3 linked regions of the Drosophila melanogaster genome follow. The protein of the gene in region 2 interacts with the protein of the main gene of each other region in a pairwise test. Each region holds a gene or a part of one and is shown on either strand. Other genes may lie near its edges. The genes, in order: CG31493, CG31142 and CG13175.

Evidence for each region.
Region 1: the proteins of CG31142 (region 2) and CG31493 interact in a two-hybrid assay, tested with the Drosophila melanogaster proteins (one large-scale study listed by BioGRID).
Region 3: the proteins of CG31142 (region 2) and CG13175 interact in a two-hybrid assay, tested with the Drosophila melanogaster proteins (one large-scale study listed by BioGRID).

What each region holds. Positions count from the first base shown.
Region 1 is NT_033777.3:7,127,615-7,137,489, reverse strand, and holds CG31493 (uncharacterized protein), read right to left. Parts: upstream 5,931-9,875; 5' UTR 5,816-5,930; coding exon 5,735-5,815; intron 5,665-5,734; coding exon 5,482-5,664; intron 5,435-5,481; coding exon of another isoform or gene 5,421-5,434; coding exon 4,944-5,420; 3' UTR 4,795-4,943; downstream 1-4,794. Other genes in the region: Fer1 (48 related 1), read right to left, coding at 1-84, 134-324; CG31248 (uncharacterized protein), read right to left, coding at 6,603-7,073, 7,128-7,316, 7,813-7,865, 7,928-7,970; CG10068 (uncharacterized protein), read left to right, coding at 9,668-9,875.
Region 2 is NT_033777.3:23,923,569-23,933,536, forward strand, and holds CG31142 (uncharacterized protein), read left to right. Parts: upstream 1-5,674; 5' UTR 5,675-5,754; coding exon 5,755-5,844; intron 5,845-5,946; coding exon 5,947-6,324; 3' UTR 6,325-6,377; downstream 6,378-9,968. Other genes in the region: CG31141 (uncharacterized protein), read left to right, coding at 1-25, 85-630; Ndc1 (nuclear division cycle 1), read left to right, coding at 976-1,373, 1,434-2,772; CG13601 (uncharacterized protein), read right to left, coding at 3,061-3,374, 3,434-3,576, 3,635-3,803, 3,859-4,000; CG43998 (uncharacterized protein), read right to left, coding at 4,216-4,366, 4,428-4,738; CG43999 (uncharacterized protein), read right to left, coding at 4,796-4,985, 5,043-5,211, 5,269-5,410; Rpt2 (regulatory particle triple-A ATPase 2), read right to left, coding at 6,378-7,694, 7,756-7,758; CG13599 (uncharacterized protein), read left to right, coding at 8,145-8,426, 8,488-9,093; RpS19b (ribosomal protein S19b), read right to left, coding at 9,290-9,451, 9,522-9,827.
Region 3 is NT_033778.4:12,180,424-12,190,745, reverse strand, and holds CG13175 (uncharacterized protein), read right to left. Parts: upstream 8,108-10,322; 5' UTR 7,951-8,107; coding exon 7,525-7,950; 3' UTR 7,513-7,524; coding exon of another isoform or gene 7,169-7,512; intron 7,108-7,168; coding exon of another isoform or gene 6,916-7,107; intron 6,903-6,915; exon of another isoform or gene 6,824-6,902; coding exon of another isoform or gene 6,557-6,823; exon of another isoform or gene 6,436-6,556; intron 6,354-6,435; coding exon of another isoform or gene 5,439-6,353; 3' UTR 5,240-5,438; downstream 1-5,239. Other genes in the region: Cyp6t3 (cytochrome P450 6t3), read right to left, coding at 1-59; Cyp6g2 (cytochrome P450 6g2), read left to right, coding at 384-1,655, 1,707-1,994; Cyp6g1 (cytochrome P450 6g1), read right to left, coding at 2,609-2,917, 2,978-3,778, 3,844-4,308; small ribonucleoprotein particle protein SmF, read left to right, coding at 6,557-6,823; wash (washout), read right to left, coding at 8,546-10,045.

The sequences.
Region 1 (9,875 bases), about 17 Mb from region 2:
TTGGCCGCCTGCCGCTGCTGGGCCATTTGGGAGGCGCACTTCAAGCGCCGGGGCTTGTGGCTCCGCCGGCTGAATGGGCAGAAGCTGAAGTGGATTAGTGAGGCTCGAGGACGCAAATCAACGCCATACTTACGTCTTCTCGGTGTTCTCCTGGTCGCTGTTGAAGCCACTGCTATAGGCATCGTCCTCGTCATCGCTCTCCGAGCTGTGCTCGTCCCCAAAAAAATAGTCGGAGCTGGAGGTGGAGGCGTTGGTGGCCTGCGATCCCTCGAAGAAGTGGCGCGCCATCGTGGCCTCCAAGTCGAAATTGTCCATGGAAAACATGGTAAATCTGTTGCGCTTCTGTTTGTGTGCCTAATTGCCAGTTAAGTGCATAACGGTAAAGCTAACACTTCCGATCCGCTGATTGGCGACGCGTGACCAGCACGTGTCACAAGGTTTGAGATTCTGGAGGGGGTGTAGCAGGCTGAACAAGTGAAACGTGTGTTCTTCGTCCTTGACTTTTGCCTTTCTGCGAAAGAGTATTTTTAATATTCCGGGGTGTTACTTCCTCTGCATGAACTTATTCAGTTGCCGATATATCGGTAATAAACATGTTCAACACACCTTTGATTAGATAAGATAGGATTTTGTGGCTAATAGATATAAAATGTATCATTTACATGGATATGAATGTAATTTACTATCGAGTTGGTAAACAGAATAAACGAAGATAAGATATAAATGATGTGTTACAATATCAGATTACCGAAATCCTATAAAATAAGATTCAATAAATATATTTAAATAAAGCTGCACTTCTTATATAAGGCTTAAAATCATTAAACGGATTAATAGCTCAAGTTTTGTTCAATAGCGTAATGATATAAATTGAAAACTGATTACTCTTTGATTTCGTGTTTTATTGTATATGCGTTTATATATTTACTAATTTATTACCACGCCAACGATAAATTTCTATTGAAATTTGTTATAATTCTAACTTTTTTTTTAAGCCCTTCTTAATTGTTTTAACTTACCTAGGAGTTTGCTATAATCCTCTGACTAGACTTGGTTCAAAATAATTCCGATGCTTTCTCAACCTCTACGAAATGGTTCACCACAGTAACCTTTCGAATTGCACATCACCTAAGCAGTAAACACTCCGCACTCGCGAACCAATTATAATATAGTTATTTCCCAGTGGCCAACACCCCAGTAATCCTTATAGATGCAACGATGCCGCGCACTCTAACATCGAAACGCGCCGTGTTGCGAACTCTCTGACTGCCGGGAAGCGAATGCCTGAGCCTGGAACTTCCACAGGACCTGTCTGATAAGAATGGTGCGCCGAGGGGTGGAAGTGTGCTATCCTGCAATGGCGGTGCCACATCAAAAGATACAGCCAAAGGGGCGGCGCCGAAGTTTCCAAGCTTCCACCAATCACAGAGCTCGGCGAGGTGAAAGTTTTTGCCGCGCAGGGTTGCATTTCGGGGTGTGATAAGCTTATTAAGTTTGTCCACAGGCTGGGGTGAGGTGGAGACTTTGATTTTCAGGCCGTGCTCTATACCACATTCACATTGTGAGCGCATTCAATTGTTTTTTGATTCGAGCGCTCGTTTATCTGTTTAAGCGGAATTATTGCCCAAGTGCTTGACAATGGAAGGTGTTGATGTTTGATGTAGTAGACAAGTGTTTCCCCGGGAGGCGGAGGTGCACTAAAAGGGGTTGGGCTGGCAGCTGCACAAGTTCCGCAGTGATGTGCGGGAATAATGATCACGCTTGTGCGCTGTTCCCATGGCTTGGATTACTTGGTACCACTCCTAAGTCTAATTAATGATTTGTTTCAACCAAGAGGAGCTCAGCATACATGGTAAAAAGTACACTGAATAGTTTGCCCCATAAGGAACTGCCGGCGGAATTTGTCAACCAGCATAATTTTTAAGCATTAGCAGAGCCCAAATTCAAATATTTGCACTGTCTAGGATTTCCTCATTGCCTTTTTTTTTTTTTTGAAACAACTCCATTAAAAGCCGATTGCACTATGTACTGCATATTTTTCGGGGCTCACCAGAGACAAGGGTGTCAAAATATTATACACTCGACGAAGAAAATGTACGTCAATGGATACAAAAATGTTTTTTAAATTTTATATGTTTTCCTGTTGATATATTTTAAAGGTTTTATAATATTTTGTGGCTTTAAAAAATTTTTTTTTAATTATTTGGAGTCTTCATCTAGTAATCTTAATTAGGATCCTTAAACGAGTTGGTCACGCTATGCCTGTCTGTCTGTCCGTATATCGGTCCCTCCGTATGAAAGTTGCGATCTCGTGGTAATTAACGGGTATCTGATAGTCGATGGAATCAACCGTTGCGTTCTTCGTTTGCTTTGAACAGTCTTTGATACTAAGACGCATTTGCCTTTTAAACGCAATTAGTTTTAACAAACATTGTTTTCTTAAAATTGTAGGGTACCGGCTCACTAAACCATTGAATTTATTTTTTCTGTGTATTCCCGAGTACGCTGCCATCCCCTGATGCGTTGCCGTGCTCATCCTCGTCCTGCTTCTCCTCGTCCTGAAACTCTGTTTGTTTGTTGTCCTTTTTCCTGCGCCTGTCCTATGTGTTGTTGCCTCATCATCAGACAACCTCACTAAGGCTACCATGATAAACAAATTGTTTTGCCTTCGCCAGGAGCCTGCCGCCTACCCCCAATCCTTCGCCTTTGTTTCAGCGTTGTTATCGTTGCCGGCGCTGCTCGTTTTGTGCAGCTGTATAAACAAATTAGTTTTCAATTTTATCAAGTTGTTTCGCTGGGTCGATTTGTGGGATGAAAGCTTTTAGGTTTTTACAGCAGATCACAGGCCGCGATAGTTGAATTATTATCGGTTTTCCATTCGTTAAACACCACATTATTTTACAAATTGGCAACAATTAAAGTTTCGATTTTTCATGTCCTTCGCTGCAACAATGTTTTCCATTATTCCCACATACAAATACAAATACCTCACTATATAATAAACGCATTAAGTCACACAGCATGGTAAAGAAAACTTATAGAATATATAAAAAGAACAATAATTAAAAAAAAATTGTTAATCATTATTATTTATTTTTAGTTAATACGGCTCTTATAATGAAAATGTACCAGTTTTGAAATAACAACGTTGTATCGTTTTCAGAATTCGTTATTTCAATTCTCACACTCTTGGCCGCTATAGCAGGTTCTATATTATTATTAAACATACTGTCTGTAATTTAAAAACCAAACTGAAATTAGCCGAACTGGTCGGCACTCGGCGAATTATGCACACGTCATATAGCACAATCAAGCGTAACCGCCTCTTTGGCAGACAACCCTATATACGCATATCCTGTATATCCTGTGCGATCTGCGATATCATTACACGCAATTGCCCTGCCGCAAGGGTATTTGCCCTTGGCCTCTCCCCTCCTCTGTTGGCTAGGTACTTTCCATTTTTTGTTATTCGAATTCTAATTAAAAACCCCAGTGCATTGTTGAGGTGAAGCCAAAGTAGGATCGAAATGCTTATCACACTGCTCACCCAGCAAATCTGGCCTGCAGTCCATCCAAGTCCATTCGCTGTATTGACACCGGGCATTAGGGAAACTCAGGGAAATCCCTTCGAGTGCACGCCTCGCCGAGTCCTGAATTGTGTAAATTTTAATCTCATTTGAGAAGTTCGTTCGAAAGTGCAAAAATTGACATCAGCACTGAGGACAGACATTTAAAAAGGGGTGCGTTGAGCACTGAGTGGATTTTGCAAGGATTAAAACTTTTCAAACGTCCTGAAAAGTTATTCAATTTTATTTTTAACGACCCATATGGGCTGAGACCATTTTGGATTCACTGACAGCTCAAACAACGTTCTTGTGTGGCCTGAATTTTCCTAAATCTTCAATGGAACAAGTGCATTTTTAATCCGTCCACTTATTCCCTTGAAAAAATGTAAATGTTATAAGGGATTCCAAAGAAAACTTGCTTATATTCATTGATTGGAAGCATGTTTGATAATTATGAAAATGTTTATATATTTCTTCTATGTATTTTGTATGCGCACGTGAACATTTTCGCACGATGATTGTTAAACAGATAACTGCTAACACATACATATTTACCAAGACTAGATTTTGTCTAAAATTACCTATTCGTTAGGTAATACTTGTTTTTTTTTTTAGAAAATGGAGATGAATTTAAATTAATTTAATACCTACTCAGTGTGTCAACTCGAACTTTATCCACCGATGAGCCACTTGAAGACCTATCATATCTTACATGTAATAAGGATGTGAGCATCGTATATATGGTACCAGATCTACAAGCTTATTGGGCAGTTGGGCGAACATCTCAGGATAAAATTAACCGTTTAGGCTTCCGATATAAACATGGTCAAAGTACCAAAAAGGACTTACTTCATCTCTAAATTCTAACCATTTTTAGACTTTTGAATTGGGACATAATACTGAAGTAAAGGGAATCTGCTGTTATAACCGAGTAATTATAATGATGGCCAGGGCAGCTGTATGCCTTATTAAAGTCCGGAGTAATTTGATCGTTTCTGGCGAATCCTTCAGATTGACAATAAAGCATAGGAATTCCGCACTGCTTGATAATAGAGTCAGTACCTGATTTACAGGTAATTTAAAAATTCATCCTATAAACTGGTGTTACCCGTAGATGGTATAACTCGTCATCCAAAATGCTGATACAGTGTTAAATGTACCTAAGATGATAGCAACATACTTAATTAAGCATAACAAATTAAATTATACTGTTAAAAGGTGTTTCTTTCGTTGGATTTTAGTTTTATTTCCAATAATATAAGAATGAGCTTTTTCGTAATTATAAAAATTAAATGCCGTTTTTTAAGAACTTTTGCGTTACTATCTTCTTTTACTAACTAATCTATGAATCTAGTCAGAATGCGCGTTAGGTTTCCATCAAAACTTTACTACTTGCAGTTCTGCATATTCAAAGGCCTGGGCTGCGCCATTGGACTCCGCCATCGCTCCGCACAAGGACCTCAGCTCGGAAAAATGCCACTTATGCATAGTTTTCATTCCCAATTGTCTGCCCATTATTTGCGAGGATTGGGATGTAGTTATTGCGACAATGGCCTGCGGTCTTTCAATCCGCATCTCCTCAGGCAGCTGGTTGAGTATCTCAAGAGGAAGCTTCCGCTGGGCCAAGAGACTTGCGAACTGGATGGACTGCTGGCATAAGATGTGGCCCAGGCCACGTCGTCTGAACTCCGGCAAAGTGGCCATGTATTCCACATCTCCCGTGCTGTCCACCTGGCAGTGCTCGTTGACATTAAAGCTCGCATCGACAGCATCCCAAAGTTCCATGTACTTTATCATGTTTGGACTCTTGATCTGGGCGCAAATGTCGTAGTATGAGGTTTTCCTCTTTGTATTCTGGTTTGGGTGCACTAAAAAAATATAAACGATTAAAGCCAAATATACAATTGGTACCTACAAATATTATATTAGCGATTGCAGCCACAATTCTGCCACTTTCCACGTGTCGTATAGCGAATGATATTCCTCGGGATATGATGTGCCTTATTAGTTTACCTAGCTCGGCAATGGCCAACGGAGAGTCTTTAAGTTTAGCGATCACACATCCGAACTCATAATTGATCGAAATGTTCACAAGCAGCTGCGATCAGTACAATATTATAAGCGTATTATTATTAAGCGTAAAGATTTAACCCTGAACAGATGCATACCTCTTCAACTTCATCATAAAGCGGTGGAGTTACACGAAGGACCTCAAACTCCCCTTCGAAAATTTCGACGCAGTCCTTCATCGCCCGAATTCCAAACGAACGAAGAATGACGATTAATTTCTATAATCGTATTCGCTTAATTTTTTAGCCCGATTAAAGTTTAATTTATTCGGACTGCTAATATAATCTAGTACAACGTACAGCTTGCTGTTTAATAAACGTATATCTAAATACCATATACAATATAAATCCCCCTATTAATGTGGAAAATTGCAATTTCCTTAGCGTCAAATATATTCGTAACGAAGTTTTAGTAGATACAACGTATCAAAAAGCTACTATTTGTAGCAGTTGAAGAATAGCATTGATTACCAATTTCAACTGCCGAAACAAACAACATTCATTTAAAAATAATTTAAAATTTTGCAAGACTTGGCAAATAGCGAATTAAGATAAAAACCTTTTTACAAAACTTTCTGCTACATAAAGAACAACATTTTACGCTTAAGCTTTAAGAGAGAATCGGAGCATAACGATACAAAGCATTTCAAAAGAAAGTTTATTAATAACTATCTTTACTTGGTTTCCCTCTCAGCAATTCAAATTTAACTGAAATTTTGAGTGTGACCGCATACCGATAGTAACTACTATCGATACGAGACATATCAAATCAAACGAGAAATTACGTATGGGATGTGCACCAGACAAGAAAGAAAACATCACATTAGCTTCGCATGGCGTCGGTGGTGTAATGGTTAGCATAGTTGCCTTCCAAGCAGTTGACCCGGGTTCGATTCCCGGCCGACGCACAGCCGAATTTTTACAAAAATTTACAAATAAATTTTTTACAAACATTTACTTTTGTATTTTAAAATTTATAGATGACATGTTCGCAAAACTTGTGAATAAGGTTAATTCGCTCGTCAAATCTCTTCCCTTTGTACTCAAATTCCGAATAAGAAACGGTGTTGATCACTTTAAAGTCTGTTGCTTTTCCAACCTTTTGAGAGAATCTAGAGGTCCAGAGTGCGGTGACGGCAGCTGGGCGTTTTGATCTTAGTTTATCATCGATATCCTCCAGGCCCTTTCCTTCGGCCAGCTCCTTGGTCAGTTCAATTGTGAACTGGGACAACGATCGACCCAATCCCAATCGCTCGTGGCTCGGTAAAGTGGCCAGAAACATCAGTTCACAGAAGCACACCATGTTGAACATGGCACACACATCAATTCTTCCATCCACTTCGATCATAAAGTCCATTAGACGCCTTGCCTGAGGACTTTTAACTTCCTCGTTCCGGAATTTTAAAAAGAAGTGATCCTCGCCAGGTGGTGGTGCATACTGTGTTTTCGACACATTAGGATTAATATTGTTTAAATAAAAATCGAATCTTACCTGAATTTTATTAAACGACACGGACACTACGCGACCCGTATCCGCCTCTTTAACCAACAATGAGACACCATCCAGAGCGGTTTTTCTGCACAACTCTCGCAAGTCCAAACGAGCTTGCCGATTTTCCGGCAAATTAATTTCACAGGCAACACACACAGATTCGTTGAGAAAGAATGAGCCGTCAAGAACCTGTAAAATGCACAATTATAAAAAAGTTCTAAACAAATCATTTCTTGAAGAGCTGCGGAACTAGATTTCAATATATAAACAACATGCTTTTTATGTTGGTTTTACTAATATATATCTGTGAATACATATATATAATGTTCGATTTCTTAGCCCTCCTTAAATCTTAAGTTACTTTCTCATTTCACAAAATAAAAAATTAATATGCCGTAAAGAATTGAAAAAAATACAAAAAGTGAACTGCGTCGGCCGGGAATCGAACCCGGGTCAACTGCTTGGAAGGCAACTATGCTAACCATTACACCACCGACGCCACGTCGAGTTTGACGCACAAAATTAGTTTTGTGCTTCTGATGAATTAACGATGATCAAATTTGCACTACACAAGCAATATAAATTGTTTGAACTTTAAGCTTAGTTCTTGATCGTCTTTATCCCAGAAATAACTTTTTTATGGCTGATAGGCATGATTATGGGAGTCCCTCGGAATCATACTCACATCTAGCGCCTCTTCCAGGTCGGAGTGAGTGACACTGCGCACCTCAAATTTGCCTGCAAATAAAGATATACAAAAACTTAAGTGGTGGATATTTATTTGTATGCAAGACACTCACCGTCGTGCAACGTTCCCCAGAGTCTTCCGTTTTCCATCCGCATTCTCAATGCCTTATCGGTCAGCCAGCTAGCTAGCAAAGTATAGAAGCAACCGCGTCCAGTGGTGGTCACTAACTGAGCGATACAGGTTTACGACTAGGCAACATATATTTTTAAATGGAAGCTTTAAAAACCTAGCACATAGACGCCATCTAATCTAATCGCATGGGCACGCGAGTTTTTAGATGATACCGTCAACGAAGCGAACTTAATAGAGCACTTTAAAATAATCAGAGATATGCAACGCGCATTTAGTCTTAGTTGTACAATCGTAACATTGCAATTGCACGCTTTAAGCTTGATAAACAAATAAAAGACCTTATTTACAAATTTGTTTATTTACCCACAACTCTTTTAACTATAAATTCGCTTGTATAAATAAAAAGTTATCGGTACTCTTATATCATTCTGTATACAAAGCCTTTTCCAATTTTACCTCGGGCTCCATGAGGACTGTGGCTTCTTTAATTTTTTTCCGAGTATCTGATGCACTTTTATGCCTGAGATTTTTGTAAACTCGGAACGCCAGTCTGATTTCAGCGACGTAGTCATCTCTAAAATATTCTACCTGCTTTTGAGCTTCTGAAATTTAATGAATTTTAATTTAAAAAAGAAGTCATATATGTATATGTATGTGCTATAAACAAAGCGTTGTTGAAATTTCCAAACTCCTTGAGATGTATTTTATTGTGGATGCCGTCAAAATTGAAATCAACCAAAAAGTCTAGGGCGAGTATAAGATGAAATTGTTTTTTGAAACCTCCAGGTCGGGGTGACCCACCGAACCACCGGGTTTCAAAATGTTTCGCATGGTTTGAATCTAGGTAATAGAAAACACTTTATAAAGAATGCTCAAACTGAATGTTTAAATTTACTTAAATCAATGATTTGATGGGATCATTCATTTCCTCTTCCATCTTCTCTATTTGTTCCAAGTTCTTTAGTCGAAATAGTTGAGGTGACCAGCCTCCCGGTTCAGCAGGACTCATCATGTGTCGCATGCTACTGATGGAAAGTATTTGAGGTCCTGGAGAATCAGTTGGTTGAGCCGTCAGTTGGCTGGAAACAGGAAAAATTTTAACAATACCAGAAAAGTTCAGAAAACTCAATATATCAAATATATCAAAATCAATATCGGGGCGAAGAACGTAATTGGAGTTTCAATCAATCCGTCCAATTCTGTCAAATTTATGAATATAAATACGAACAAACAGAGTTTGCTTACACTATTAAGTTCTTAGTAAGCAATTAGGATTATAACAGCAGTGTGACCGTTTGTTGAGCAGAATGTTAAGTAAATAGTTGCAGAAGCATGTGAGGGGGACTCCATCCTTTTCGAAAATCTATTTTCAATTATAGAACTATATGTAAAACGATTAGAATTAAGGCATAATTAAAGTGCCTCTTTAAAGTAAAGAAAACTTCAGAATGTTATCAAGAATACCTCAAATGCCGTCCATATTTCCGCTATTTACAACACTGCCTGATCAGCTGTTTGGTTTTTTTTAATAATACATTGGATTTGTTATTGTTGCGAGTCAATCATAAAAGCTTTCTAAAGACAACTCTCAAAAGTGCAATATAGTAGATAGAAACATAAGGCTGTGATCAAAAGCCAATCCTGATGTGTTGCCCTGGCAACCGGGCGCAAACAAACGAAATCGGGAAATCTAATTAGTTCTCTTCGCCGCCTTAGTAAAATGTTTATTCTCGACCGAATACTGCCTTTTATTTTTAGCTATATAAGGCCCTTTATAAAGTGGTTCCTGCACGCCTTCACCAGGCTCTCGGAGCTCCAGAGGATTTGCTATGGAGCGAAGGCCGGAGCCAGCCGAACCAGCCAGGTGGAAAGGTCCCTCACATTGTCCAAAAGGCCGCAGATACGACGACTTGTACTTGACCTTGATG
Region 2 (9,968 bases):
CTACAATATAATGATGCTCCTGCCCGTGAGTTGAAATTTTGAGCCTACATTCTTTTCTTCAATTGATAAAAGCTTCTTCCGTAGGGATACTACTTCATGTTGGTATTCCAACCGTACAACTTTCGCTGCATGACTGTCCTGCAGCAGGATCATCCGCTGAAGAACTGGGAGCGCTGCATCAGCTATGCTTACTACATAAACAAGATCGTTGACCTGCTTGACACCGTGTTCTGCGTGCTGCGCAAGAAGTACTCGCAAATAACGTTTTTGCACGTTTTCCACCACGTCCTGATGCCATCCGCCGGATACTTGATAATACGATTCTATGGCTACGGAGGTCAACTCTTCTTCCTGTGCTCCTTCAATGTATTCGTTCATATCTTCATGTATGCCTATTACTATTCGGCCATCAAGGGCAATACGGTGCGTTGGAAGCGGTACTTGACCCTCATGCAAATGCTGCAGTTCCTCCTCATGTTTGGCCATTGCGCCTTAACCGCCATGCAGCGGCAGTGCACTGCATCGCAGGGAACCCTCTTTCTGGTCAGCTGCTCCGCGACCATCATGTTTATCATGTTCGCCAACTTTTATTTCCAGTGCTACCTGAGACCGAAGCATAAGGAGAACTAAAACTTAAATTAGGTCGAAAATTGAAGATATACTAATTTAGTCATACGTTTTTATGAGCCATTTTAATGGTGAACTTTCTAGATTTACAAAATTGTGCTTTGTAATTAAAAAGATAAATTTCAAAAAACCGTTTTCCATTAGGGTTTCTCACTACGAACATCAAATGAGTTATCGATTACGGGCAGCTCCACTTTCCGCATGCGGTCACACTTAAAAGTGCAACAACGCGCGCGTTGTCGGCAACCGTCGAATATTTGCAATTAGTCGCGAAATCAATTAGAAAACTATAGAATTAAATCAAATTATTGGTGATACCTCGATGGTCTAGCAGTTCGGAGCGCAAACATGTCTGCTAGCTCCTCCAGCAACGCTTGCAAGCTCTTGCTGCTCGGCCGCTGCCTGCGCGCCGTGCTCCTCAGCGTGGCCATCCAATTCCTGCTGCTCACAGTGTTCCTGCTGTTTGTGAACTTCCAACTGTTGCATCCGCTCGCCTGGGTGACGGGAACACTGCGTCTGGTAGCCAGTTGGTACACCTGGTTTGCCAGCATCCCTCTGGTGGCCTCCGTCGTGCTCTACGGTGTGATTCTTTGCCAGCAGCACTTGTCGGAGCGACGCTACTGCCCAACCCGCTACCGGTGGCTCCTGCACTACGGTCCACGCAAGGTGCTCTTTCTGTTCGCCCACCTTCTGGTCGGTCTGCTGACCGCCTGGCTCTACACGGGCTATCTGCACACAGACTATCAGTAAGTATACCTACAGTTGGTTTGAATTCGGTCAATACCTATGATTCCTTTTATTTCCAGACACCTGAAATATAAGTGCTATGGCCAGGATTGCATTAGTGCTTACAATGTCTATCTATTAGGCATCGGTATGACCGCCGGCTGCTACTACTTTGTCTCCGTTCACATGCGCAAGGAGATCTCCATTGAATTTCCCATTGTGGAGCAATCGCGGGCGGAGAAGATGCGAGAGCTGCTCTACGCCAGTTTGGCCAAATCTCTATTAAGTTCGCTGCTGCCTACGATCAGTTACACCGCCGTATTTTGTCTTTTCGGACCCATGGTATGCCACAGACTTAGTCACATTCTCTCTGTGGACATGGACGAGCGACTGGATGGATTCTTCGGAGTTGTTACCAATGTGCGCCTGCTTTTTTACGGCTATTTGCTGACCGCACAGATTTTGAGCAACATGCACCTAATGCGTTGCTTTTACGGCATTCTGCTCTCGGAGGATTTGCCACTGGTGGTGACTAAACCGCGAGCTGCTTTTGCCCATGAACAGGATATAACCTTGGTAGCGGGTCTCGGAGTTTTCAATGTGTATGTAGTGCAGTGCCTTGCTGCTCATCATTTCTACAAGCTGGCGTTGCGAAAGAACTCGCCACAACGGGCAGAGATATTCCAGCTGACTGAGCCGGGTAACCGGCCAGCAAGTTGGCGCTCCCTCTGCGACCAATGCTTGAGCATTCTCGGCAGCTTTACCGAAGAACTAACCGAGTCGATGCAGAAGATAAGTATACTCAAGTGCGCCCAGAGTCTGCCGATGCCGAAGATAACCGAATCGCTTACAACTAGCTTGATGGCCGAGAAGGTGTTGCTGCGGCAATACAACCAGAAACACGGCATTCGACCCATTGTATCGCCCAGTCGCGAGGTTGCTGTTGAAAGTCCAGCGGATGGCATCCGTCATTTTCCCAACTGGTGTGAGCGTGTATCCACGCAGTTGGAGCAGTCCCTACAACGGTTGCTACAGCGCGTTCCCGGCATTGTGTACTTATTCAACGAACCCGAAGGTGCCAAGACGACGTTTCTGCTGGCCAACTCCCTGCCCGTAGTGTATATGACTCAGGCTCTGGCTCAGGTGTGCGCAGCCTCGCTCAAAGAGGATCCATATGGAGTAGTGCAGAACGATTTGCCTGCTATCATCAAGGCGATCAACAAGCTGCGAAATGAGCTAGATAAGCTAAGTAGCGTGATAGGCAACATAAGGATATCCAGCTCTAGCTTTAACGTGCTTCGATGCGCAGTGCGACGCAGTCTGTACGCCATCTGTTTGTCGTTTTGCGACTATCTGGACGATCTGCTACCCCCTGGAGAGGAACTGCGCCAGCTGCAGGACCTCGTCTGCCAGGAGTAAACCCATCCATCACTTTATACACTCATCTTGTACACTGTTTTGCATCTCTTTAGTTGTTTGTCTGCGGTAACAATAAAAATTAATAAATATAACTACAAACGTCCAATAGTTATAGAATACTATTGACTTTTATACTTAAAGTACGAAATGGTAACACGCGATTTGATCATAACTAGCACTGATGAAATGGTCTGCAGGTTGAATGTGTACAAGCGGGCGGCCTTACTGTTCCTCCATCGCCACTGCCATCATGAGCAGGGCCAGATCCTGCTCTAGCTGCCGCTTTGGTCAAAGGTCGGCTGCTTTTGTAGGCAGTGAGCTGGCAACGGCAACGGTGGCTGCCTCTCCCAGAGACTGCTCCAGCTGCACGGCCACCTCATCCAGGTGCTGGAGAGCCTCCTTGGCCTTGCGGTTGCGTCCGTCCACGAAGATCTGCGTGTCCAGGAAGTGCAGGGCGCGGAAGGCCATACCGCCTTGCGGGTCATATAAGCTGTCGAACTTTTTCGGATTCCTGGCGCTGGCACTCTGGTCCGGCGTGTCGGGATCGAAGGGCACGTATTCCTGAATCGGCTCCTTGTGCCACCGGAAAATGTTTCGCGAATCTGTAAGGAGTTGGTATATGATTACGTGATACTTGATTTCGGTTGAAAGGAAATGGAACCTAGATCAGCCAGCACTCGCGTCATTTCTCGTATCTGGGCATCCTGTCGCTCCAGCCGAAAGTTCATCTCCGTCAGCATATTGGTTAGTTCCATCTTCTCCGATTGCGCCAACTCGTTTTTCTTGTTCTCCTTGATGGTTTGACTGGAAAGTGGTTGGATCAATATAGCTCTGGAATGGCTTTGGATCTCTGTTTACCAACCGTGAGTACTCGAAAATCAAAAGACCGGCTCCGATCGAGAAGATGATGAACTCGCCAAGCAGATTGGCTCCCAGCTCAATGGCCATCGCCTCGTTCAGCGGTGGAACATTAACGCGACCACCCATGTTCAGGGCCCACATCTTGGTCTTCACCTCTACCCAGTTGTAGACTGAAAATGTGGGATTAGAGCCCGTAATCTCATCTAATCACATCGCACCACTTACACTGTGCGGGCGGCATGCATATGTACTTCCTGAAGAAGGGGCTCGATTTGGCATTGGACTTAATCACGTTGGCTATCGGCTTGCTGACCTGCTTGATGGCCAAAATGCCGAGCTTGGCCGCCGGGAAGACGCCAATAACCATTGTTTTACTTTACTAATTTTTTACTAATAACTATTACAAAATATTCATGCAAAATTAGAGATGTGTTTTAGGTAGCGGTGTGCGCAGGGATGCACGATAGTGATGACAATTTGAAACTGGAAATATAACCGTAAATAATAGGCAACTTTCGATAGGACGAACTTGAAAATTACTCATTTATTTATTACATAATAAAATTATACAAAAATAAATCCTTATTTTTCAACGTTTTTTAGAGCTGCCTTAATCCAGTTGATTTCCCTTTGGTTCCGTTCCACATCTGCACTGATACAGTCCACGCACTCATCTAGAACTCTTTTTTGATCCTCAATTTCCTGGTTCTGTTTTTTGGTTTTTGTATATGTTCTATAAAAACAAATAATTGTATAGGAATACAAATTATTAAGACATTTGTAATAGTTCACACTTTGAAAGCTCATAGTATATGAGACCCGCGCCGATGCCAAACACAAAAGCCTCACTCAGCATATCAGCGCCCAATCTGGTGGCGACCGGAGTGGAGAGGGGTGGAATCCGCCTGGGCTGCTTTAATCGAAGCATACGAAGCTTGGAACGGACCTCAAAGGTGTTGTAGAGCTGGGCAGGCGGAATGATGATGTAGCGCCGTATAAAGGGATGATGCTTGCCCATCCAAATCAGAAGGTCTCCGAATGGCTTGCTAATCCGTTTCACGCCATGAATGAAAATTTTTCCAACTGGAAAACTACCAATCACCATTGTGCGTTACATAAAATTTAGCACGAATATACTGGCGACTGAGATTTCCAGGCCAATTCAGTTACATTCCAAATCCCCTGTATTGCAATATGCCGTATAGGTTTCCCTACTTCCCAGCTTGCTCCTCAGCTGATTGATTTCCTTGGTCTGGCGGGCGACCTTGTTGGTGAGGTTACCAATTCTTTCCTCCAGCTTCTCCCGATGCATCTTGTGTTTTTCGTGCTTCAACCTGTCATTCTTGGCTTGCCTAAAAGCATATTTGAAATAAGCCAAGATTTCTTCAAGATAATCGAGGCTTGCATACCTTTTGAACTCGCCTACAATCAGCGTGGCGCCAATAATGAAGATGACCATTTCGCCCAGGATATCACCGCCCATTTGGATAGTCATCGCGTCAGTGAGGGGCGGAATTAGACGAGGTTGTCCAAGTCCCAGCATCCACATCTTGGAGCGCACATCAATTACGTGGTATACTGAACATTATACTGGTTATGATGATAACTGGTGGGCATTCCACGGATTGTACTCACATCTCGCCGGAGGAGCAACAACCAGGGTTTTGAATGACTTATTCTTTTTGGCCGTTTGCTTGATCAGATTGCCAATGGGCTTGCTAATGTGCTTAATGGCAAGTAAAGCTAGTTTCGCCAGTGGAAAGACGCCCACAACCATTGTGCAATTTCTAAGTTTCGACAGAATTCCCTAAGTGCCCTACAACCGAAAATTTTCAAATTTCATATAATCAGTTTTTCAAATTATTTCTAAACTCAATTTCTGAGTCGCAATAACTTTAAGTCTGTGGATATCCAAACCCAGCAATTTAAAACATGTACTCTTTTTAAACTTCTTGTTCTTATTTAATAACTAACAGATTCTTGAAAGATGTTTAGACAGTTTAGTTTATGAATCGGTAATATTTGGCATATAAAACCCGGTCACACCTGTTACTAAAACGCTGGTTTTGTTTGTTATTAAATCTTTACCTCTGCATGCTTTAATATTCTTCCTAAAAAATAATGTCGGCACTTGGGGATTCTGATGATGAAACTGAGTTTAAAGAGATCAGCTCGACTAATTATCATCGTGTGCAGGAAAAGGTGGCAAAGGTAAGTTTAAAATGAATTTGGCGTGGCCAGCTTTCATGATGAAATCAGCTGGCTTTACATTGCCGAGTAAACACGACTTCTAAATACCCTTTCCCTATCAAGATAAGCTATGCAGATGGCGTTGCCGATGGCAGGGAAAAGGTCTTCCAAGAGAGCTTCGATGAAGGCTTTGAGAATGGCTTTAAAACTGGATTCGAACTGGCCAAACTGAGTGCCTTCTATGAAACCATAAGCAATGCGGCGGGAGCTGAAAGCTCCGAATGGAATGCAGAACGAGAAGCTTATCAAAAACTCCAACTGGCAGATGCAACAAATAAAGCACACTTCACATATTTGGAGCATCAAGGCGCTCCACTCAACGTTATATCCGAAAAACAAAAGACCTACGTGGACGACCTCCTAGGAAAACTGGCACAGCAACTCCCGGCAACTACGAATTTATTCACATCGGGGAGCGATTCTAGTGTTAATGTGGTTTAATGCATGTGTTTGGGAATTATCAAAATTAACTTGAAAGTATATCTTCGCGCGACTTATAAATAAAGACCCTCGGGCGTGCCCTCCTTCTTCCGGTACAAGACGCTCTCCTTTGACTTCTTGAAGTCCTCGTTGGTCACCTTCATGCGGCGTTCCCGCAGCGCCATCAAGCCAGCCTCTGTACAGATGGCCTTGATGTCGGCGCCGGATAGATCGTCCTTTGCCATGATCAGTTCGCTAAGGTTCACGTCCTCGGCCAGCGTCATGCGAGATGTGTGGATGGTAAAGATGCGGCGCTTGGTCTTCTCATCGGGCAGCGGGAACTCGATCTTGCGGTCAATACGACCGGGTCGAATGAGCGCCGGGTCAAGGGTCTCGATACGATTGGTGGCCATGATCACCTTGACATCGCCGCGCGAATCGAAACCATCCAACTGATTCAGTAACTCCAACATAGTACGCTGAATCTCCCGCTCGCCACCAGAATTTGAATCGTAGCGCTTTGTGCCCACTGCATCGATTTCGTCGATGAACACAATGGATGGAGCGTGCTCCTCAGCCACACGGAAGAGCTCACGAACTAGCTTGGGTCCGTCGCCCAGGTACTTCTGGATCAGCTCTGAGCCTACAACGCGCAGGAAAGTGGCCGAGGTCTGGTTGGCCACTGCCTTGGCTAGCAGGGTCTTGCCCGTACCAGGAGGCCCATATAGGATGACGCCCTTGGGTGGCTTGATTCCCATTTCCTCGTAGTACTCGGGATGGGTCAGTGGCAGCTCAACAGACTCCTTGATCTCCTGGATCTGAGTGTCTAAGCCACCGATATCTGCGTAAGTCTCTTGCGGAGCCTTTTCCAGTTTCATCACCGTGACCATTGGATCGGTGTCGTCGCTGAGAACTCCGACTACAGCGTGTACTTTGTGGTTGAGCAGCACGGAGCAGCCTGGTTCCAGCTGATCCTTGTCCACGAAGGACAGGATGCTAACATAGTGCTCGGAGCCCACCGATGTGGACACGATGGCGTGGTTGTCGTCGATGATCTCCTCCAGGTTGCCCACGGACATGGGGGTGCCGCGCAGATCGTCAACCTTAGAGCGCTCCTCCTCGTTCTTCTCGTCCTGGGGCTTCAGGCGCTCCTGGTTGCGGATGAACTCGTCCTCCATCATCAGGTAATCCTTGATGCGCTCCAGCTTGAGCAGCTTAAGGCGGCAGCGGGTGTGGGGCGTGACCTGGGGCAGCTTCATGGCCGCATCTGGACCCTTTGCGCGCCTCTTCTTCTTGCCAACGCGCGTTGGGATTGGAGGCTCGTACTTCTTCTTTTTATCCTTGTCATCTTTCTTTTCGCCAGCTCCCCCTTGAGCCGATTGGTTTTGTCCCTGCAAATGTATTGTTCCCGATCGTAAATGAGTTCAGGGTGTTCTGAAGGTGCTATTTTACCATTTTGTCTTGGTGCTTGCTGCTTTGCCGAACGTTTGATGAACTTTTTACTCTTTATTGTCGGCAACAAAATTACTAGTCATTCGCGTTAGCTGTGTTGCCGTACTATGGAAACATGAAGGTCTGGCAACTCTAAGGGTGAACAAATATTTTAAAAAAACGTGAAAATTAAAATAGGCAAGAAATGCTTAAGCAATCGGATTAAAACAATAGTAATGATTAACAACCAAAATATAAATGAATTCAAGACTTGAAAAAAGCAAATTTTAAAAGTCACTGTTTTATATACTTATCGATTACTGTAAACAAACTGAATGTTTCAGTCTGGCAACGTTTGCAATTAGTGCGAAAAGAGCATTTGTTTAAATTTGTTATATTGCGACCTTTTAATGGATCAAAATGTCAAGAATGTTGATCTTAAACTGGATAACATTGAGGTTCTGACCAGTGGGACAACAGCGGAGTTCGTGAATGGCATCCTGGACTTCTTGCTCTATCAACGCCGGCAAATCCCCTTCGTGTACAAAACATACAAATATTATGTGGATAAATGGTCAGATGCTGATGAATCGGGAGAATCCAAGGATCAGGAGTCCTTTGCTCATTACCAACGCAACCAGCAGCGCTCTAAGGCAAAGGCCACCAAGGAATCTATTAGTGACATGAGAGAGGTGAGGTTCCCCTTACATCCAGGACTTCTTTTGGTCTTTACTTGCCAGTTCTCTCCTACAGATCATCCGACAAGCCTTCAGGAGCTCTGAAGTGAAGAGCCTGCGATTTCTTTTTGGCAACAATATGTTCATGCCCTCGGAGGCCTATACTCTGCACATACCACATGATTCCATATCCAGAGATCACTATTGCGAGCACCATGCTCTGCCCGAAGGTCGCATCAACCAGGCGCTGCTCCGCCTGCTCACCTGCGAGGAGCTGTACAGGCTATTCTCCACCGAACTAAAAGTCACCAACGTGTTTCTAGAAATGGAGCTCCTTACAGACTCCGATCGACCCCAAGGATCCCATTGTGACTCCTTTAATCTAATCCCAAAGCATATATTAAGCCAACTTCCGCGCAGCTGCAAGAACATACACCTGCATCTACTGCATTGCAGTGAAAACACACCGAATGAATTACGCTGCTGCAAGGAGATGGATATTTACCACGATCTTGGCGTGCGGAATCTGGATAAATCTGGGGAAGACGTTAGCCAGACCAACGAAGAGCATGACGTTTTGAAAGCAGCAAATGAAACCAGCGGTTGGTGGCAGGCCGAGGTCATAGTTCGCGGTTTCAGAGCTCCTGGCAACCAAAAATCGGGAGATTTGTGGTCTAGCTAACATTTTATAACTTGGATTCTTGCTATTCGGCGTGTTTGTGTCAAAAATAAAGTTTCGAATCGTTTATATTTCAAGTATTAAGTTATTTTATTATGTATATAATTGTTTAATTTTATTTTTGGTTTCGATTTATTGAGAATGTTTTGAAAACCCAAGGCACTCAAAGATGATCCATCGTGGTATTGGTATTATCATCTTAGGTAGTGATAATCATGGAAACTGGTGCACTGCGCTCTCGCTGCTTGGCCACAATCTTGTTGGCTATGCGATCCAAGTTACGTTGTCCTTGCGGAGTCAGCTTACGACCACCATCCGGGTGCCTCTCCACCATGTTAGCAGCTTCCAAGGCTTGAAGAGCCTGCTCATGTGTTAGATACATGCTAAGTAATATTAAATATAACCTTAAAGTACAACCATTTCCCACTCACCTTGCGAATACAGCCATCCGATGAGCGACAGTGCTTGGACGGACGAACACCGTTGCGCTTGCGCCCGCTATAGACCTTGGTGAAGGCCCCAACGCCGGCGGGACTGCGCAGGTACAGGTGTCTCATAATAGAGGCGCAGCGAGTGTAGAACCAGTCGTCGTCGGTAGGAGCAGTCTCCTTGAACTTGCCAGTCTTCATATAGACGGCCTGTTCGGGCACAAAAATTTTTCCGGATTTTTTGAGAAAAGCAGCCATGTTTTTGGTCAGAACGTGCTGATCGATTTCCTTTACTGTGACTCCAGGCATGTTGCTCTCTACGTTCTTGAAAGCACGTTTTTAAGGCTCATGGGTCCGATATATGTATGTATGTATTTAAAAAAGTCTTACCTTTTGAGAAGAAAAAGGTTTGCTTCCGGTTAGTTTGCTGACTTTAGTCAAAATGGACGA
Region 3 (10,322 bases), on a different chromosome or scaffold from region 2:
TGCCTTAACCAAAAATTCAGAGTCACAATGGTGAGCAACAGCAGCCAGATGAGCAGCATGGTGTCTATAAGATATAAGATAGAATATTATAACTATGAAATATATACCAGCATTAGGTAAAGATAGCTAAGATCCAAAAAGTCGTTCTTTTGAATGAGGAGGAGACCTTGTTCACGACCGTCAAGAAATGCATTTCCATATGCATAAGTTGAACCTGACCCACTTAACATCTCGACAAGCACTTCCATTCACAAATAGATTCATTCATTGCACTCAGGATCATCTTGATGATCTCATAGTAGAGTTTCCGCTTACCCAAAGCTTTAACTCTATGGTGCTGGCAATATTTCAGCCAGTTGGACATTGGGTTTGGTGGCGTTAGCATGGAACTGGTACTGCTGATCCTCGTGGCATCCCTAATAGGGATTGCCTTTCTGGCGCTGCAGCAGCATTACTCCTATTGGCGGCGAATGGGAGTACGCGAAATCAGGCCCAAATGGATAGTGGGCAACCTGATGGGACTGCTCAACATGCGAATGAGTCCCGCGGAGTTCATATCGCAATTGTATAACCATCCCGATGCGGAGAACGAACCCTTCGTGGGCATCCATGTGTTCCACAAGCCGGCGCTGCTTTTGAGAGACCCCGAAATGGTGAGAAATATCCTGGTCAAGGACTTCGCTGGCTTCTCCAACCGGTACTCGAGCTCCGACCCCAAGGGCGACCCTTTGGGATCCCAGAACATATTCTTCCTGAAGAATCCCGCCTGGAAGGAGGTACGTTTGAAGCTATCGCCCTTCTTCACCGGCAATCGACTGAAGCAGATGTTTCCCCTGATCGAGGAGGTGGGCGCCAGCTTGGATGCCCATCTCCGCCAGCAGCCGCTGCACAACGAGCGGATGCGCTGCTTCGACTTGGAGGCCAAGGAGCTGTGTGCTCTCTACACCACGGATGTGATAGCCACGGTAGCGTACGGAGTGAGTGCCAACAGTTTCACGGATCCGAAGTGCGAGTTCCGCCGCCATGGACGTTCTGTGTTCGAGTTCAACCTGCTGCGTGCCGCGGAGTTCACTCTAGTGTTTTTCCTGCCCCACCTGGTCCCGTTCGTTAGATTCAAGGTGGTGCCGGCGGAGGCCACTCGTTTTCTGCGCAAGACCATCAACTATGTGATGTCGGAGCGGGAAAAATCCGGACAGAAGCGCAACGATCTCATCGACATTCTCATTGAGTTCCGTAGGAGCACGCAGCTGGCGAAGGCATCGGGTATCAAGGATCAATTTGTGTTCGAGGGCGACATCCTGGTCGCCCAGGCGGTACTCTTCTTCACCGCCGGCTTTGAGTCCTCCTCCTCGACCATGGCGTTCGCGATGTACGAGTTGGCCAAGGATACGGACGTACAGCAGCGCCTGCGGGAGGAGATCAAGGATGCACTGGTCGAAAGTGGAGGTCAGGTGACGCTGAAGATGATCGAGTCACTGGAGTTCATGCAAATGATTCTGCTGGAGGTGCTGCGCATGTATCCGCCACTGCCGTTTTTGGATCGCGAGTGCACTTCTGGGAGGGATTACTCGCTGGCTCCGTTCCACAAAAAGTTCGTGGTGCCCAAGGGCATGCCCGTTTATATACCCTGCTATGCCCTGCACATGGATCCCCAGGTGGGTTGAGATACATTTTGCATACATTACCCAACGACTACCCTTTTCCAGTACTTTCCTCAACCGCGAAAATTTCTGCCTGAAAGATTCTCGCCCGAGAATCGCAAGCTCCACACGCCCTACACCTACATGCCCTTCGGCCTGGGTCCGCATGGCTGCATCGGAGAACGTTTTGGATATCTCCAGGCGAAGGTGGGTCTGGTTAACCTGCTGCGCAACCACATGATAACCACCTCGGAGCGCACACCCCATCGCATGCAGCTGGATCCCAAGGCCATCATAACCCAAGCCAAGGGCGGCATCCACCTACGGCTGGTTCGCGATGCTTTGGGCGTCTAACTCACCTGAATATGGGATATGGGATAATCTGGATACTTCTTTCCTGGGTGGTGAGACTATGGAGCCTACAACAACTGAATGGAAACTAAGCAGCGGAGTCGCGTGTTTGGGGATTTAAAATTGAGCTGGTGTCGCATCTTAAAGGCAATTTGATTGGCAAATTGCGTGTTCCATCGCCGGTGAATAGTGAATGCAATACTATCCATACATATATAATACATCTCCAAGATCCAAGCGTATCTGTATAGACTCTACTTATTCCACAGATGAGAGCTATTGGGTTATTTGTTACATTTGGGAGATGCCTTTGAACTGGATTTATAATCGTAAAGATAGCATTTATTGCATTTATTTATTGGTGGCGCAATTGAGTAGCTGCTAGCTGCTCAGCACGCAGATTAAATGTAATTTGATAATGATTTTGTTTTTATTTAGTAGACTCTAGGCGCCGCTTCTAACACACGGATTATCATTATATAATCTGCATCATAAGTCAGGCAAATGCCAGCTGTCAGAAGGCGATTGCCCCATCAACTAATCACTTATTCCATATATGTACATATATGTATCCATATGTGTATCCATACAGATCACACAGTTCATGCGATTCAAATTCATTGGAGCGATGGAGCGCTCTGATCGTAGAGGCGATCGTTGACTATCTCCAAATGTATGCCACCATCTGCCTGGAGCACGAAACCCTTGGGATCGAATTTCATGTCCTTCATGGTGGCCTCGCAGTTGCGCACTGAGTGATTCTTCAGCAGGCTGACCAGTCCCAGTTTGCTCTGTAGCAGGCCAATCCGGCTGCCAATGCAGTTGTGCGGCCCAGATCCGAAGGGTTGATATGCCATGGCCACTATGTTCTTGCGGTTCGCGGGTGAGAAACGCTCCGGATCGAATTGGCTGGGATTGGTCCAGTACTAGGAATAACCAGATAGTTAGAGGAGGGGGCTTATGAACTTCTCAATGTGATGGAATACCTTTGGATCATGATGCAGTGCATAGATGGGTATGAACACAGGGGTTCCGTTCTCGAGAGTGTAGTCGTAGAACGGCTTCAGGCTCAAGTCTGGCTGTCCCTCCACGCTCTCGTACTCGCGGTCCAGGAACGGCAGCACCGGATACATGCGCAGCACCTCGTCCACCACCATGGCCAGATACTCCAGGGACTGGATTTTCTCGTAGCTCAATGACCCACCGCCCTCCACCAAAGCTTCGTTGATCTCGTCGCGCAGGCGTTTCTGCATCTCTGGATGCTTGGCCATCTCGTACAGGGCAAAAGACATGGTCGAGGAGGAGGTCTCGAAACCCGCCGTAAAAAACACGCCCGCCTGAGCCACCAGGAAGTCCTGGTTCTTGGCATAGTGAGGCTTCGAAGGCTCGGCAGCCGCCTCTTTGCGCAGACTCACCAAGACATCTATGAGATCATTGCGGAGCAGGCCCGATCGCTCTCGCTCCTCCATAACGTGACCAATGGTGCTGCGCATAAAGTGGGAAAAGTCCGCCGTGAAGAACTGGATGCGCATCAGCGACACCAGCTTGGGCAGGAAGAAGGCCACAAAGAAGTCCTTGGCACGCGCTACGGTGAAGGTGAACATCTTGCGTCCATAGTTACGGAACTCTGCGTTGGGATTCTCTAGGCTGTTAGCACGAATGCCAAATGCAATCGTGGCTATGCTGTCCGTGGAGAACTGAGCGCAGATCTCCTTAATCTCCGTAATGAAACTCCCAGAGTTCTTCTCTCCACGCCTCTGCAGTGCCAGCTCCAGATCCTTTCCAATCTGCACAGCATATATGTATGTTAAATCCCTCATAAGGATAAATAAGTTTCAACACAAATCCTTACCTCCTGCATAAGGGTGTACATCTGCTTGACCTTGCCGCTGGTGAAAACGGGAGTCAGCTTGGTGCGAATTCCCTTCCAATGGGCATCCCTGACGAAGAACAGGTTATTATAGCCCAATGGATCGCCATGGGGATCGCAGCGGGCGTATCGGTTGTGGAACCGATTGAAGTCCTTGATCAGAATGGATTTGATCAGCTCTATGTCGCGTATTATCAAGCCGGGCTTGTTCATGGAGTAGATGCCCACCACAGCCTCGTCCTTCAGCCGCGGATCATTGTATATCTCCGATAGGTGCATCCCAAAGGAGTTCTCCATCTTGAAGACCACCTTGGTGTTGCCAATGATCGGCGTGGGCGGAATATAGGGTATGCCCTTGCGTTGCCAGTAGCTATGGTTGCGCTGGAACCAAGTGTAGAGCGCCACCAGTGCGGCGACCACCACAAAGAGGACCTCGGTCAACACCATTTTGGGGATGTCGATGTAATGGGTATCGCCACTCTGAAATTAATCGCTAAAACAATTAATCAAATGCCAGTGCCCTCAGCATTATCTTATCTCGATCGCATTTGAAACGGTCGATGGTTTCAAATGCAATCTAGAGTGTTTTGCTACCCATGTTTACCTAGATTTTATTAAATCAGCCGTCTTAATTATTTTTAGCTGGCATTATCTTTTCCATTCCAACGCGAATTACAATTAGTTATGATAGGGAGCATTACAATGAGTGTTTATGATACGCTTATAGTAATTCCCGCCATATCTACACCCAATTAAGCTGCTTGTAAAGCTAAATAGAAAATCTTTTCGGGCAGCAAATATGACACTAAAAATTTGCCAGCAAGGATTTCGTCCTAAGCTTTATTAATTATACATGAGACTACTATTTCTATAGAGCAAATGTCCAAAATATATTTCTTAGAAACCAGTTCTCTATTTATTTTAGTAACAGTAACAGTAACCAAGTAATCTTAATTTTCACAGTTGCCCTCAATTCCATATTAAGTGTGGTTTTTTCAAGGATATCACACTTTTTCAAATTAAAATATACAATTTTGTATACCGAATTTCATAACTTACTTTGAAAATATACAGGTTTTTTTAGTCACACAATTTATTTGCAACTGGCCTAATTCGCAACAAGTTTGTCCAGCAATTTCAAGGAAACTTTTATTGGATCTATAAATTCTGAGCACCCGCGTACACAACCGACAATTAAAGCTCTACGCACCGCACTTGGGGCGATTTGAAATGTTGTTTGCGTTTTTATACTCGAAAGTCTCAAAAGTTCTGAGATAGCAATTTCAAGTGCATACTTATAAATTCACCTGTGTGGTGGAAAAAGCTTTAAAATACGACAAACAAACCACAGCAAATCCAGAGGGACTCTAAGATAATTACAAGTCATGATTACATTTATTATAATGATTCTTAGTTTTAACAACCTTATTTACTTTTTGTGTGCTATGGTTTAGTTAGATTTTTAAAAGCGTTAACGCAATACATATACGATATGAAAAGTATTGCACGCTATAATCTATAAATAATTAAACACAACCGGCTTTCTCGTCAAGCTTTTGATGCATTTGTGAATTTCATTATTGTTGCGTTTGCTGCTTTATAGAAACAATTGCAAAATGCCTGGGCGAAATGACGGGATCAAATAAATCTATCAGATAGCTGCGTTCATAGCCAAGTTCCTTGAGGTAGAGCAGGCGATCCAGGAGAATTAGACTCTCCAGCACCGGAGCAAAGGACATGCGCAGCAGATAGAACAGATCCAAGAAGTATTTATGCACGGCATATTCCTGGAGCAGGGATTGAAGTTCTTCTTTCTCAACAGCTGCCAACCAGGGAGCATCCAATTTGGTGGCACACTTTTGAATGTACTCCTCGAAACTCTCGAATTTCCGTACCTTGCCCACCTGCAGTTCGTTTTTCAGCTCCGGCGCATGGCGGCAAACCAGAATCTCCAAGAGAGCTCGATAGTAGAGCGTTACATTAGGCAGCTCCTTGGTGTCCAAGGTGCGTTCAATTGACTGGGCCGCCAGCATCCGCGCATTGCGACCCATTCGCACTTGTCGCTCCCGCAGGTACTGACTCAATGGGAATCCATAGTCTGTTTGCAGCTCCATCAGGGACTTATTGCCAAAGAACTCCTGCTGCGAATAGCGCTCCCGCAGCAAATGATAGCAGCAGCCAACATTACAAAGCAACCGGCAGTCCGTTTGGGCGTGGAAAACCTGAAGACAGGTGGCGGCCAGGTTGCCACAGGTATGCAATCCAGTAAGGCAAATGTTTGGACTGTCTTCCGGTCTAAACTGAGTGAAATTCTCCGCCAGCAGGGCACCAAAGTTAAGTTCGGTGGTTATAAACTTTGCCGTTGTCTTGTAGTTTTCCAAGGCAGGCGCACTCTTGGTGCTCTCCCTGGCTGGCGACTTTTTACCACGTCTCTTGGGCGTGATTCCCTGGACTTGCAGCTCCGCTCGTTCCGTAAGGCCATTCCAAGCGCGCTGAAATTAAATAAAATTTTAATTTTGGCGCTTTTGAATGGTTTTTCAATACTCTTCTTCTATGCTATTCTTCTTCTTGTTCTGGTATGTTTACACAGCGCAGCTGTGGTCACACTACACAAAAAAAACGCGAAAAGCCGGCGATTTTCGGCACGCTTGTTGTAATATTTTATAAAAAAGGCAGGAAAAATCAAATAAACAGAATGTCGGCTGGTATGCCCATTAACCCCAAGCCCTTCCTGAACGGCCTGACGGGAAAACCGGTGCTGGTGAAGCTGAAGTGGGGCCAGGAGTACAAGGGCTTCCTGGTCTCCGTCGACGGCTACATGAACATGCAGCTGGCGAACACGGAGGAAGTGATCGAGGGCTCCGTGACTGGTAATCTTGGCGAGGTGCTCATCCGCTGCAACAACGTGCTGTATATCAAGGGCATGGAGGACGACGACGAGGAGGGCGAAATGCGCGACTAGCCAATGGATTCACCTACATACACCCACACCTTACTTCTAAGTCTACAAACGTAATGAAATAAAGCTAACTTTATTTTGTAAGCCCGGCCTACCTGCAATTTGCGATTCCTATTCAATGCGTTCTCGGTGTTTGCCGCGTTCGCATCGATGCCGAGCACGCGGTGACCATACTGGAGCGCCAAGCGCGAGGATAAATACCCTTTGCCATCGCCCGCGTCTACAATGAAGCAATCTTGACCGGAGTTCTTCACAAGCTGGTCCACGAGAACGGCTGTTAGATCCACCTAATCGGAGAGATTAATCAATTCCTAAAATACTCTCATTTAAAATGGTTGGTTTACTTACCTCATGGCACTTTTTGGCGCTCATAAACTCCCGAATGCTTAGCTGCGTGGAGTTCCCCTGACCCTCTGAAGCGACAGGCGTTCTTGTTTGCTCTTGCCTAGGAATTCTCGCCATGCCGGAAACCTTTCTGATTCATCAGTTTTCCAAAATAGGTCTTCTATGGCCAGAGCCACATCTTCCTTGCCGGCGATCTCACTTTTCAGCGTTTCGGATAAAAAGCCGTCCCAGTGCTGGTCCGTCAAGTAGTTCACCATGTGGCAATTGACAAAATCCCAGTGCGGATTGAGGAAGGCCAGTAAGCCATCCAGACGCCTCTGCAACTGCACAACTCCCACCTTGGACATGGTGCTATAAGGCTAGAAGCTGTAGTCCTTGTGCTCGACAGAATTGGTCTCTGCAGGCGCTGCACCAGGCGTTTTTTTGGATCCCAGCTGGGCGCGAAGGCGACGATGGGAGGAGCGAATGTCCTGCACAGCACCCACTATGTCCGCCTGCGGATCGTTGGTGCGGGGAAACTCCTCGATGAGCGAACGCAACTGTTCCAAGCTGCGACGCACCTTGTCCGTGTGTTTCAGCTGCTGCTGGGCCACCACCTGGCCCAGAATCTTGCCGAGCTCCTCGCCTAGGGATACTCCCTGGGCGTAGCCCAATTTATAGCCCTCTTCGTTGCCCTGCTCCTGGCCGTCCTTCAGTCCCTCCTCGTAGCCCAAACGTGCCTCCTTCTCCTCGGTCAGGACAATATCGTCAAAAAGATCGTTTATATCCCGCGACGGACTTGTCATTATATGTGGTTTCACCGGATTGCTTGTAAAAGCTCTCCTCTAGTGTAGTAGTCCTTGTCCTTGTCCCTGATTGTAACTCCAGATATTTGGCAGCTTCTCTAACTTTAATATTTAAATTCGGTGGATATTTCAATTTGTTTTTACCCGAAATGTGATTCCACTGCGGCATTTTACAGCACTGGCAGAGAGCAACACAACAGCGCTGTTAAGGATTTAACAGGGAAATTCGTTTATTTCAAATAGGAAAATAGCTGTTATCTAAAACTAGAATTTAGTGTTTTATTATAATTTAATATCGAGTTTATTTTAGTCAGTATAAAGAATTGTTTTATTTCATTTAGCATCACAAAATGTTTCATTGTCCTGTAATTTTATCAATTAAAGTTAGCCAATGTTCTCAATAAGAAATTACACACATTTCTGCTAATATGTAGTTTTATTCAACTGGTTGACTTTGACCTAATTTGGCATGCTCGCTTGGGCACAGAATTTGGAATTCGTTTTAGAAATTTGTATGCTTTAAGCTAGAGAACCTAGGTTGCTAGTGCTTTAAGCCAGCCAAGGCACTTAAACCGGTACTAAAGCTAAATATTCACTAGTTCCACCCATCCTCGTCGTCCTCGGAGTGTTCGTCACTCGACTTAGATCCCTTGCGGGGCTGCACCGGCGGCGGTATGACGCGGGAGAGCTGCTGCATCAGGGGATTGCCAGCAGTGGCCTCCACGGGATTCTGGCTCCCAGAAATTCCCTTGCGTCGCAGCATTAGCTTGTTATGCAGGTCTGCCATCAAATCCCCCGTGACAGCGCCTCCCGCCTTGGAGCGACTGTTGTCCACCACGTCGAGCGGCGCAGCCGCAGGCGACCGCAGACGACCGCCATGCACTCCACCGGCGTTTCTTATGGCGGCCATAAGCTCAGATCGCGGATCTTCAGTAGCTGGAGGCGGCTGCGGCATGTTAAGAGGTGTTGCTAACGACGGGGAGAGCGGTTTCACAGCTCCTTTGGTGGGAAAGGGTGGCGGTGATGGAATTGCGCTCGTCTGCGCTGGTGGAGGAGGTGGAGGCGGCGGTGGTGGCGGAGGAGGAGGCGGTGGTGCCGCCGTAACTGGCGAAGGACATTGTCCCACACTCTTCCTACGCACCGGTCCCGGAATGTGCGTCTGTGCCGCGATGGCTTGCACTATTATATCCTGCTCCTCGAGGCCCAAATCCGGCAGCTCTGGTAAATCACCGAACTGCTGGGAAGGCGCTATTGGTGTTTGCTCCTCCACTGGCTCATATTGCAGATCATTCGCTATGCCCGGTAGGTCGGGCAGGTCCAGCGGAACATCAATGGCGGGTGCAGCCAAAGCAGCAGGATTGTAGCGCAGGTCCCCAGCTGGAGTGGCCAGTTTGGTGGTGCCGTGGGCCAGCGAATGAGGTGCCGGAGCGAGCTGCTTTTCTCCCGTGAGTTGAGTGGACTGACTGGCAACGCGTCGAGCATTTTGCGGCGGTAGGGATCGCTTCCAGGCATTCAGATCCTCGCCGTAGGCGAACTCATTGGTATTGAATCGCATGAGCGAGGGTACGGAGCGCACTCCACCCGCAGGCAGGATGCCCAGGCCAGCGGTCCGATTGGTTATCTTCCGTTCGGCGACCAGTGGCGATTCCTGCTCCCGATCGCCACGTACATGGAAAAAGATGTCCGCATCATCCGGCTTCTGGTCCGCGGCACTGTGACTGCTGTACGTCCCTTGCGGGAGCTGGTCCACTTGCTGCTCCATTAGGGGATTGGCTGCCACCTGTGGAAAGGTGGCTGGCAGCGGTGCCAGGACGTCGCTGGCCGGAAAGCGGGCGGGTGCAAAGATCTGGATGGCCCGCTTGGAGCCAACGAGCGCATCGATTTTTGCCTGAGCGCGCTTCACACGATTGTTTATGTCCTCAACCTTTGAACCATTTCTCGCCAAGCGGGCATCGATTCGCTCGAAAATCGAGTTTATGGTTTTGTGTAGACAGTCCAGGGACTGGGCTGCTTGGATTATGGTATCCTCGTGGTGCAGGTCGGTGGCTATAATGGCCACCTGGTAGGGGCTGTGCAGGTAAGGTGACTCCTCCATTTTTCTATCGCCAAATAATTACATATTTATTTGCAATTTTACTGCTGTTCATGGTAGTGTGACCAACTCTAAAAGCTTTACAAGATGTTAAAAATGATTTGGTTCAAAGTAATAATTAAATGGATTTCTTTTAAAATTACGAAACCTCAGATTAACTAACCCCTAGCTAAACGAAACACCAGTCAACTGAACCCTCAGTTACACTAACTCCCACGTAAATTATCATTCAGGTAAACTAGACCCCAGATAAGCTAACCAGATAAACAAACCACCAGGA